Linked DNA regions of Macaca fascicularis. The protein of the gene in region 3 interacts with the protein of the main gene of each other region in a biochemical or structural test. Links are inferred from orthologs where the notes say so. Each region holds a gene or a part of one and is shown on either strand. Other genes may lie near its edges.

Region 1 (3,651 bases), on a different chromosome or scaffold from region 3:
CTGAGATGATTTTGCAGGCAACGTGGTTTCTGAGAAACCTAGCCCTGCTTATCACCGGCTGACGCTGTCAGACCTTGAAGGCAGAGGGCTCCTCAGCATCTTGTAACAAGACAGGTCCTGCTCTGAACCCGGAACGAGAGTGCGCCAGCTGTCCTTGACATTTCCAAGGCAGTTGTCATCTTTTTAGATGTAATCTGTTGTCGGGCTGGTGAAAGGCACAGCATTTGTAGATCAAAATGCCTTGGCCCTGCCCTTGTGACCCATGGGGTACCCCGGCAGCCCCGGACATGAGCTCAGGTAGTAATTAGGAAAAACAAAACCGTTTCCAGTCATGAGAGAGGGAGACCTTCTCCCCTGTCATTCTACTTCTGAACTTCCTCCTGGAATCTTCTGGGGGAAAAAAATGATGGTGGAAAAACGGGTCATGGACACCTGCACGAAATTCACATCAGCAGAGACTTACCGGGCACCCACTATGTGCCGCGCACTGGACAGCCAGACAGTCACGGCCCAGCTGGCAGAGTGCCTGCGATTCCAGTGCCAGGTGCTAGCCCTGGCCAGGGAGGGAGTTGCATGCTATCAACATGGATTTCCCAGACAGAAGTAAATGAGAGCACGCAGGGCTCAGGACAGGAGCTGTGTGCTAAGAGCACAGCCGCAGAGTCCAACACACTTTGGTTCTTTGCCAGCTGGACAACTTTGTCCACTTTATTTAACCTCCCTTGGTCTCAGTGTCTTCAGCTGTAAAGTGGAATAGATAATCCTTCCCAAGTAGGTTGTGGTAAGAGTGGATGGGTGATCTGTGTGGTTGTGTGCTGCTTGTAAGCCCTGAGAACTGAAATGGGCCATTACCGTGCACCAGTTAGGAGGTGTGCCGGTTGGTGGTAGCTTTATTCTGTTCTATCACGCAGGGGCCAGTCACAGAGGAAGCAAAGTTTATCATTCATGATGGGCGATTTTGAGGTAGCAGTGGCAGGTTGATAGGATTAGCACATGGGAGGTATCCAGGTTTGCTAAGTGGTTAATGATTGCGAACATTTATTGAAGACAGATGCTCAATATGTACCAGGCTCTTTTCTAAACGCTTTACCTGGATAATCTCATTCCATTCTCACAGCAACCCTGGCAGTAGACACTATTATCATCCCCTCTTTACAGATGGAGAAACTGAGACCCAGAGAGGTTAAGTGAGTTGCTCAAAATCCCTGAGCTAGAACCAGGATTCAAACCCAGACTTTCTGACTCCAGAATGTTTCCCGCTTTGCCAACTGGCGATCTCATTCTTATACTGCCCCTGTTCTCTGTCTCCCTGTCTCCAGCTTTGCCCTGAGTGAAGCTGAAATTATTGCCATCCTATTTATTCAGTATGAATCAGACTTCTTCTGTGCCAGCCTTGGTTTCTGAATCATAACAAATGCCCAGTGAATATTTGTGGAATAAATGCGTACATTAATGAATGTCCCCACACACATCACCATCAGCACCTACTCAGGCCCCCAAACAGACACGGTCCTGGGTGGTGGGTCCTGCGATGGAAAACAAACATGGGCTGAGGAAGCACAAAGAAGGAACCTGGACCCTGCCAGGAGAGGGGAGGGCCAGGAAGGGTCTTAGGATGAGCCGTGCTTCATCTGAAATTTACAGGGTGGACTGGGATTTGTTACAAGGAGAAGCAGGACAGACACCCTTGGCAGAGGGAGGAACATGAGAAATGGGCGAAGACTGCAGGTGGTTCAGGCTGGGAGGAGGCAGGAGCGGGAGGAGGTGACACTGAGGCGGGGCTGTGAGGGAACCACACTGTGTGAGTCAGAAAGACCCTTCAGGCAGGGTGAGGAGGAGGGTGGATGGGAAGGGGCAAGGCTGGAGGCAAGTAACGTTGGCAAGAGATGAGGGGAACAGGACTTATGGCTGAGCCAGTGTGGGCCGAGAGGACACAGAAGCATCCAGACTTGGTATTTAGTCTGAGTGAGTGGGCCAGGGCCTCTAGAATGACCTTCTCATGACTTTCTCTTTGGGTATTTTAAATCCAGGACACAAATGATATCACATATGCAGACCTGAACCTGCCCAAGGGGAAGAAGCCCGCTCCCCGGGCCGCGGAGCCCAACAACCACACAGAGTATGCCAGCATTCAGACCAGCCCGCAGCCCGCATCGGAGGACACCCTCACCTACGCTGACCTGGACATGGTCCACCTCAACCGAACCCCCAAGCAGCCGGCCCCCAAGCCCGAGCCATCCTTCTCAGAGTATGCCAGCGTCCAGGTCCCGAGGAAGTGAATGGGACCGTGGTTTGCTCTAGCACCCATCTCCACGTGCTTTCTTGTCCCACAGGGAGCCGCCGTGATGAGCACAGCCAACCCAGTTCCCGGAGGGCTGGGGCGGTGCAGGCTCTGGGACCCAGGGGCCAGGGTGGCTCTTCTCTCCCCACCCCTTCTTGGCTCTCCAGCACTTCCTGGGCAGCCACGGCCCCCTCCCCCCACATTGCCACACACCTGGAGGCTGATGGTGCCAAACCAGCCAGGGAACCGACCTGGGAAGTGGCCAGAACTGCCTGGGGTCCAAGAACTCTTGTGCCTCCGTCCATCACCACGTGGGTCTCGAAGACCCTTGACTGCCTCCCCGATGCTCCGAAGCCTGAGCTTCCAGGGTGGTCCCCTGACCACCACCACCACCACCCCCCACCCAACTGGGGCTTAAGGGGGGAAGATTTCCCCTTTAGATCAAACTGCCCCTTCCATGGAAAAGCTGGAAAAAAATCTCTGGAACCCATATCCAGACTTGGTGAGGTTGCTGCCAACAGTCCTGGCCTCCCCCATCCCTAGGCTAAAGAGCCATGAGTCCTGGAGGAGGAGAGGACCCCTCCCAAAGGACTGGAGACAAAACCCTCCGCTTCCTTGGGTCTCTCCAAGACTCCCTGGGGCCCAACTGCGTTGCTCCACCCAGACCCATCTCTCCCTTCTAGACCTGAGCTTGCCCCTCCAGCTAGCACTAAGCAACATCTCGCTGTGGACGCCTGTAAATTACTGAGAAATGTGAAACGTGCAATCTTGAAACTGAGGTGTTAGAAAACTTGATCTGTGGTGTTTTGTTTTGTTTTTTTCTTAAAACAACAGCAACGTGATCTTGGCTCTCTGTCATGTGTTGAAGTCCATGGTTGGGTCTTGTGAAGTCTGAGGTTTAACAGTTTGTTGTCCTGGAGGGATTTTCTTACAGCAAAGACTGAGTTCCTCCAAGTCCCAGAACCCCAAGAACGGGCAAGAAGGATCAGGTCAGCTGCTCCCTGGAGACACTTAGCCTTCTAACTGGGACTGACTTGGCCAAGTTCTCAGCCGAGCCACGCGGCTGGTACTGCAGCCTTCTGTGACCCCGCCGTGGTAAGTCCAGCCTGCTGAGGGCTGCCTCTTGACAGTGCAGTCTTGTCGAGACCTAACGCCTCAGTCTGCTCATCCGTAAAGTGGGGATAGTGAGGATGACACCCCTCCCCACCACCTCTCATAAGCACTTTAGGAACACATAGTAAAGGGTAGGGAGAGTGGCTCTGGCCGTGTGTCCTACCCCTTTAGTGTCCACCCCCATCCCGGCTTTCCGAGCTGATCCTTGAAGAAGAAATCTTCCATTTCTGTGCTCAGACCCTACTGGGATCAAACTG
Region 2 (3,651 bases), on a different chromosome or scaffold from region 3:
ATTTGAAATGTTTAGAAGTTTTAAAGAAGTGTAAAATAACATTATATAATTTACTGAAATATCCCTTTTTCTCATCTTGTTTCCCTACATTTATTTTTTGCATTTTCTTCTTCCCATTTGCTTTTCAAGTATAGAAAGATATATGAAATATGAATTTTTGTAGGATTTGTAAACTGATTAAGTGCATCAAAGAGGAAGAATGTTTTTTTCTGATTCTTTTATATATTTCTTTACATTATTTTGAATTCATAGTTAAATTTTTGAAAGATAGAGGTACTAATTTTTTTAAGGATGTCGAAGGAAACAAGAGTATAACCCTGATTTAGGGAAACATTTATCAATTGGTATTGAAGAAGAATCTATCTTATTGCCATGAATCATCTACTTTGGGGCATATACACACACATATTGTGATGTGGGATAAGCTTAAGCATTAGGGAAAAAGCAAAGCAAATTTTCTTTTAGAAATCAGTAATGTGTAAAACCAAGGAAATAACATAGGCCAAATGAAATAATGAATATCATTCAATATAACATGCATATTTTGATACACAATTAGATTTTATATTTCGTGATTCTATGTGGAACAGAAGAATGAGTAAGAACTTAAGTTCACTCTTAGCAGGAATCTCATATTGGGATAGATCTCCTTCATTTCGAAATATTTTTAAGGATCGAAAAGAGCTAAAATATAAGAGAATTAATCATAAATTATATTTTATGAAGATTAGTAGACTGAGCTGTCTTAAATTATTTCTGGAACAAGATGGGATCTTAATAAATCAATTAATTCACTGAAAACTCAATAAACAAATTATGTTGGCCTCTTAAGAGTTTATAACTTTTAAAAAAGTCTTCTATTTATTCACACACACACACACACACACACACACACAAACTCAATCATTACTCATGTATACCCTTATGATTGTTTTAATGGAGAGATCAAAGAAGTAAGAAAATACTCTGAGAGCAGAATTTTCTAGGGTTCTGCCTTTTAGAACGGATTGATTTTGTGCCCACAACAAGAATATTCATTTGCAAACAGATCATTTGAGTGCGGAGTCTTTTTATTCAGTATTTACCATAATAAGTCTGATGATTGTACTCATAATAGTGGCACTCATAGGATGTAGGAAAGAGTAGTATTCAGTAGAAAAACAGGGAAGAATGAAGTATAAATCATTGGAATATCAGTGCATTAGATAGGAATGGCATAGTCATGTGCCTACAAAAGCATTATTTGCTTCAGAGTAAATGAGAAATTATTAAATGAATCAATAAGTAGCAAAACAGATGAAAAAATGATAAATACATGTCTACATAAATGCATTAATAAAGTAAACTTTCTTTCTGAACAACAAAACATCTTGAACAATGTACTTCTTGAATAGTAGTTTTTACACATGTTAGAAAAATACAACTTCATTTTTCTCACCACCTCTAAATGGCAAAACTCTGTTATTCTGTTATGAAACTCACTGAAACCAAACAACAAACAGAGAATTCAATAGGGTGGATCTCCACACATTGACTGGATCCTTGAAATTACCTGGGATGCCAATGATTTAAATACCCAGGTTCCATTTAGACATACTGAATTCAAATCTCCACAGGAGCGTTCTTAAGATTAGGTAAGACATCTTGCAAATAAATATGCCATATGTTGTAGAAAGTCACTTACTCTGATTATTTTATATCATATTGGCAATTGTAATAACTACCTTCCTTTTTAAGGGTTGGGATAACAAAGCAACAATTCTGACCTGATGTTATTTTTAATTTTTTGGTCCAAAAAAGAATGGGAAAAAAATTAAGTTTCTATGTTTTAAATGTCTGAGTAATGTACTTACTACAGTTTTCAGCTTTTCTATTGTCCCGGATAACTATTCTTTGGTTGATTGTGCTGAAGAGTGTTGTCCAGTTAATGGTATGATAATAACACAAGTTGCTATTGTCAGTAATATAGATGTTTCCTGCGCTGATTTCCTTCAGGGACTGGAACTGTAGAGAGGTGATGCCCTGTTGCTTGAGGATAAGCAAGGAGAGGCCACTAAGGAGGGGGAAGGGAGAAAATGGAACCATGAGACACATTCTGGAGTAAAATAAGGCTGTCATATTTTATTTTTAAAAGAATGTTAATGGAGTGTAAATAGAGACTGAATCAGTAACTCTGTGTTTTGAATGATATTTGTTTTTACATGCTATATACAGTTTTTAAAGTAACAATTTGACCTCCCAAAGTAAAATTTCCATTGCTTACAGTTATGCATATTGGCAGTGTATCTCTGTGTATATATTTACCACTGAAATATCTGCTCACTATCTTCCCACCCCAAGCCTTAACTTTACATTGTTCAATGATGAAATCCTGTATTAACACTAAAGAAGTGTTTATAAAACAATCGTTCATCTACTCAAAGTAAGACATTAATTCCTTTTTATGTAATAGATTTAGACATATAGACATACTTTCAGAGTATGTCTAAATAATTTCAGAAAATGATTATAGGTATTTAGCTTTACTTTAATACCTCAGACACCAGAACTGTAATAATTGAGGCATGTGTAAGTAAGGTTAGGAGACGGTAAAAAGTAAAGAATAAAACTAAACTAAAATTAGAAAAAGAAAACAAACTCAGATGCCTTGGGTATCTGGGGAAAAGGTCTCTAAAAGTTAAATAACAACTACCCTGTTTAGAATTGCTCACATCATGCACTCCATGCTTGGAAAATACTAATATTACTTTGAGTGACTGACGATTGAAAAATCAAGGAAACTACTTTTATTTTAATATAATCCACATTATTGTAATTATTTACTTTTTTACTTATTTTCTTTTTTTACTTATTTACTTTTCCATTCTCTAAAGCATAAACATGCTTCCCATATTTCAATCAGTTAATGAATATTATTTTACATTTTGGAGATCAATGCTTTCCACTTTTATTTTTAGTTTTAAATATTCTTTGCTGTTAATATTTAGATTTATCTTCCATGGTTGTCAGAATGTGTGTGTGTGTGTGTGTTTGTGTGTGTGTATGCTCAATGATAAAGACCAAGATGCAGCTCTTTCTCTCAAATTTTGTCCCCATCATAACTATCTTGAGTTGTTGATTACAATGTTAGCACAATGTCTCGATTGGCTTATAATATTTATTCAATGGATAGTAAAAGTTGTTTACATATAGCACTTTAATAGATTGTATCTCTTGACTATCCTTTCTTATTAAGCTCCTTTTTCCTTTACATTTTTAAAACCTCTTATAAATATAACTTTTAAATTTTAATAGTGAAATTCAATGTACTTTTTATAAAACATTATTATAAAATCAATGATGATATTAATTTTGGAGATATTTTGAACTTAAGTAAACAAATTTTAAAAATTCTTATGTAAATTGACTTTTAATTGCTCATAAATAAGAACGTCATACAGATGACATTGAAGAAACCTGTTATTTACTCTTATAATGTGAATTTAAATTATTGACATTATAATTTTATCAATGTCCTTCTAAACCTGAATTTTCTTGTCCATTTATTAACCAGCAGAACATGTAGAATGGCGGACCTGTTCCTAAAACATCAGCCCTGTGATGTGTAGTTCAAATTATAGCACCAGAGACAAGAACAGAATCTCCTGGCAC
Region 3 (3,751 bases):
TTCAAACTGTCATCTTTACCACTTGCTGCTTTGACTATGCCCACACTTCCATGCTTCTAAACTAACAAACTGGACAATGTAGGGTCTAATACTACACAGATCTTTTCCCAACCCTCAGCCCCCTAAAGCAGCAAATCCTTACTTGTCTGGAAGAGCAGACACCAGGAACAAAAGGCTCAATGACTATTAGACAGATTAAAGAATAGACAACTGTTTATTTAAAAGCTCCCTAAAGAATTAGAACATTTGAGGCTATACACTGTTCCGTTGAAATGCAGTTATATATTACCCAGATCCGCAAGCACTTGCCAACAGACCTGTCCAAGTCACTCACTTCCTACGAGTTCTGTTTTCTTTTTTCTCCCCTTTTTAAATTCCAGATCCATGTAAGAATAACATGCCAGGTCTGTTTGGAGGAGACATTCCTAATATTTTGAAAAATCTCATTCAGGCCGGGTGCGGTGGCTCACGCCTGTAATTCCAGCACTTTGGGAGGCCGAGGCAGGCGGATCTCGAGGTCAGGAGTTTAAGACCAATCTGGCCAACATAGTGAAACCCCGTCTCTACTAAAAATACAAAACTCGGCCGGGCACGGTGGCTCATGCTTGTAATTCCAGCACTTTGGGAGGCCGAGGCGGGCGGATCACAAGGTCAGGAGATCGAGACCATCCCGGCTAACATGGTGAAACCCCGTCTCTACTAAAAATACAAAACATTCGCCAGACGTCGTGGCGGGCACCTGTAGTCCCAGCTACTTGAGAGGCTGAGGCAGGAGGATGGCTTGAACCCAGAAGGCGGAGCTTGTAGTGAGCCGAGATTGCGCCACGGCACTCCAGCCTGGGCAAGAGAGCGAGACTCTGTTTCAAAAAAAAAAATTAGGCCGGGCGCAGTGGCTCAAGCCTGTAATCCCAGCACTTTGGGAGGCCGAGACGGGCGAATCACGAGGTCAGGAGATGGAGACCATCCTGGCTAACACGGTGAAACCCCGTCTCTACTAAAAAATACAAAAAACTAGCAGGGCGAAGTGGCGGGCGCCTGTAGTCCCAGCTACTTGGGAGGCTGAGGCAGGAGAATGGCGTGAACCCGGGAGGCGGAGCTTGCAGTGAGCTGAGATCCGGCCACTGCACTCCAGCCTGGGCGACAGAGCATGACTCCGTCTCAAAAAAAAAAAAAAAAAAAAAAAAAAAAAAAAAAAAAAAAAAATTAGCCAGGCATAGTGGCATGCCGATAGTCCCAGCTACTTGGGAGGTTGAGGCAGGAGAATCGCTTGAACCTAGGAGGCGGAGGTTGTGGTGAGCCGAGATCGTGCCACTGCACTCCAGCCTGGGCTGTTAACAGAGTGAGACTCCGTCTCAAAAAAAGAGAAAAAAAAAGAAAGAAAAAAAAATCTCATTCAAATAGCCTCAATAGCTTGAATCGTTTTTTAAATGTCTGAGACAGTGACCATAATTGAACAACCATGGAAAAGAATAGACAATGGGTCTTAAGTGTGAGTGGTATATAGAGTGATTATATAAAATAGCAGGATCATTATCTGAAAACAAGTCACACTACTGTTTGACAACAAAATTAAGGCTTACAAGTGGTTAGCAATAGTTACAAAATAATAGAAGCAACATAGTGATTAAAAGTAGGGATTCTGTCTCCACCACCTACTAGCTGTGAGGTTAAGCAATCTACTTAACCTCTCCGAAACTCGGTTTACTCATCTTTACAATGGGGATAATAGTAGCCATCTGAGAGGGCTGTCGTCAGAACTAAGCAAATGTTAGCTATTAGTAGTAATATTACCCTGATCTTTCAAAGGATCTCATTAACTCACTAATTCTCCTTAGTTTCAAATCTTGTCATTTACTAGCATGTTGCTTCTGGGCCTCGGTTTCCTCATCCATAAAACGGGTACCAGTAAAGTGACCTGACTGTTAAGGTTGCAGTGAAGGATTAAATAACGAGATGCGGCTCCCTTCCTTTCCATCTCCCAAAGCGAATATCGCAGAGGAAGGAAATACTTCTAGTGGCTGCAGATACAGTCAGTTTTTCCATTTCTGGCACGTGAGGGGTGGGAGAAAAAGAAGACACAAAGGGGCACATAAAAGGGTCAGGGGTCCTTCGTTAAGACCCCAAATGCACGCAAGTGGCACAGTGACCCAGAACGACTAGACCACTGGGGGCCCGGCCCCGCGCAACTCCCATCTCGTGTCCCAAGGAGCCTCCCCAAGTGAGCAGGGTTATTTCGGAATCACCATGAGGCAATTCTCATGAGGCAATGGGTCAGGAATGCGGCGCTGAGCCGGGCCGCTGGCGCCCGTGGTTCCCTAGGCGGCTCTACCTGCCCCAGGCCTGACGGGCATCCCCCGGGCTGCCGCAGCCGGAACTCAGGGAGGCAGGAAATGAATGGGGACCCAAGGGGTGGGGGCGCGGTGGGGCCGGCCCCCGGGCCGAGGAGGGACAGGGGACGAGGAGGGAACTGGCCCCCAATCCCGATCCGGGGCGGGAGCCCGAAGCCCGGCCGGGGCGCCCCCTTCCGGACGGGGCTGACCGAATGCGGCGGGGGCCGGGCCGAGGCCCGGGCCGGGCCCCTCGGGGCTCCTCACCTCCGCGATGTCATGTTCCTCCCGCCCTCCGGCTCCGCGACGGACCCGCTCCTTGCTCAAGCTCCACTAGGCTCGGTCACATCGGGCTGGCCCGAGGGAGGCCCGCTCGGGACCGGACGCGGGGCAGAGCCAGCCGGCCGCGCACAGACCCCCCTCCAGGCCTGGGGATCCCGGAGACTGTGCAGCCGCCCCCCGGCCCGGCTCGCTCCTCCTCCGCCCCCGCCCTTCGCCGCCGTCGCCCCCGTGATGTCACCGCTAGCGACGCCCGCCGCCACTTCCTGCTTCCCGTTAGCCGAGGACGGAGCCACGGCCGGGAATGGCAGCGCGGGGGTTCCGCGGAGGCGCTAAGCGCAGCGTCCAAAGCATCCTTGCTTCCTCCCGGAAATCGCGGCCGCCGGGTGTGAGCTGCGCGCTCGGCGGCTACGCCACTCCACCGACCGGGCGCGTCCGGGCCCACTGCCACATCGATTTCATTCATTTCGTTCCACAAATCGCCACTCGACTCATTAGCTGTGGAACCTTGGGGAATTACCTACTGTCTCCGAGCCTCAGTTTCCTCCATTAGGCTGGGCGCGGTGGCTCACGCCCGTAACCCCAACAATTTAGGAGGCTGCAGCAAGAGTGTCGCTTAAGCCTAGGAGCTAGAGGCCAGCCTGGGCAAAAAAGACCTCATCTCTACAAAAAATGCAAAACCCTAGCCAGGCGTGGAGGCTGCGGCGGGAGGATAACTTAAGCCCGGGAAGTCGGTGCTGCAGTGAGTCGTGATCACGCCACTGCCCTCCAGCCTGGGCGACAGCAAGACACTGCCTAAAAAAACTAGTAATAGACCGGGCGCGGTGGCTCACGCCCGTAATCCCAGCACTTTGGGAGGCCGAGGCGGGCGGATCACGAGGTCAAGAGATCGAGACCATCCTGGCCAACATGGTCTCCACTAAAAATTCAAAAATGAGCTGGACGTGGTGGCGTTCGCCTGTAATCTCAGCTACTTGGGAGGCTGAGGCAGGAGAATCGCTTGAACCTGGGAGGCAGAGGTTGCGGTGAGCCGAGGTCGCACCACTGCGCTCCAGCCTGCAATAGAGCCAAACTCCGTCTCGATAATAATAATAACAAATACTACTTTGGGGTGGGAGCAGTGGCACACGCCTGAAATCCCAGCA

What was found.
Region 1: the proteins of PTPN11 (region 3) and SIRPA form a complex in vitro, tested with the Homo sapiens proteins (2 studies listed by BioGRID). The link is inferred for Macaca fascicularis from reciprocal best matches to the Homo sapiens genes PTPN11 and SIRPA.
Region 2: the proteins of PTPN11 (region 3) and ERBB4 form a complex in vitro, tested with the Homo sapiens proteins (2 studies listed by BioGRID, with this or other methods). The link is inferred for Macaca fascicularis from reciprocal best matches to the Homo sapiens genes PTPN11 and ERBB4.

The regions. Positions count from the first base shown.
Region 1 is NC_088384.1:85,367,226-85,370,876, reverse strand, and holds part of SIRPA (tyrosine-protein phosphatase non-receptor type substrate 1), read left to right. Parts: intron 1-2,030; coding exon 2,031-2,279; 3' UTR 2,280-3,651. UniProt on the Homo sapiens protein: Immunoglobulin-like cell surface receptor for CD47. Acts as docking protein and induces translocation of PTPN6, PTPN11 and other binding partners from the cytosol to the plasma membrane.
Region 2 is NC_088386.1:107,518,799-107,522,449, forward strand, and holds part of ERBB4 (receptor tyrosine-protein kinase erbB-4), read right to left. Parts: intron 2,054-3,651; coding exon 1,854-2,053; intron 1-1,853. UniProt on the Homo sapiens protein: Tyrosine-protein kinase that plays an essential role as cell surface receptor for neuregulins and EGF family members and regulates development of the heart, the central nervous system and the mammary gland, gene transcription, cell proliferation, differentiation, migration and apoptosis.
Region 3 is NC_088385.1:119,340,646-119,344,396, reverse strand, and holds the start of PTPN11 (tyrosine-protein phosphatase non-receptor type 11), read right to left. Parts: upstream 2,816-3,751; 5' UTR 2,609-2,815; coding exon 2,595-2,608; intron 1-2,594. UniProt on the Homo sapiens protein: Acts downstream of various receptor and cytoplasmic protein tyrosine kinases to participate in the signal transduction from the cell surface to the nucleus. Positively regulates MAPK signal transduction pathway. Dephosphorylates GAB1, ARHGAP35 and EGFR.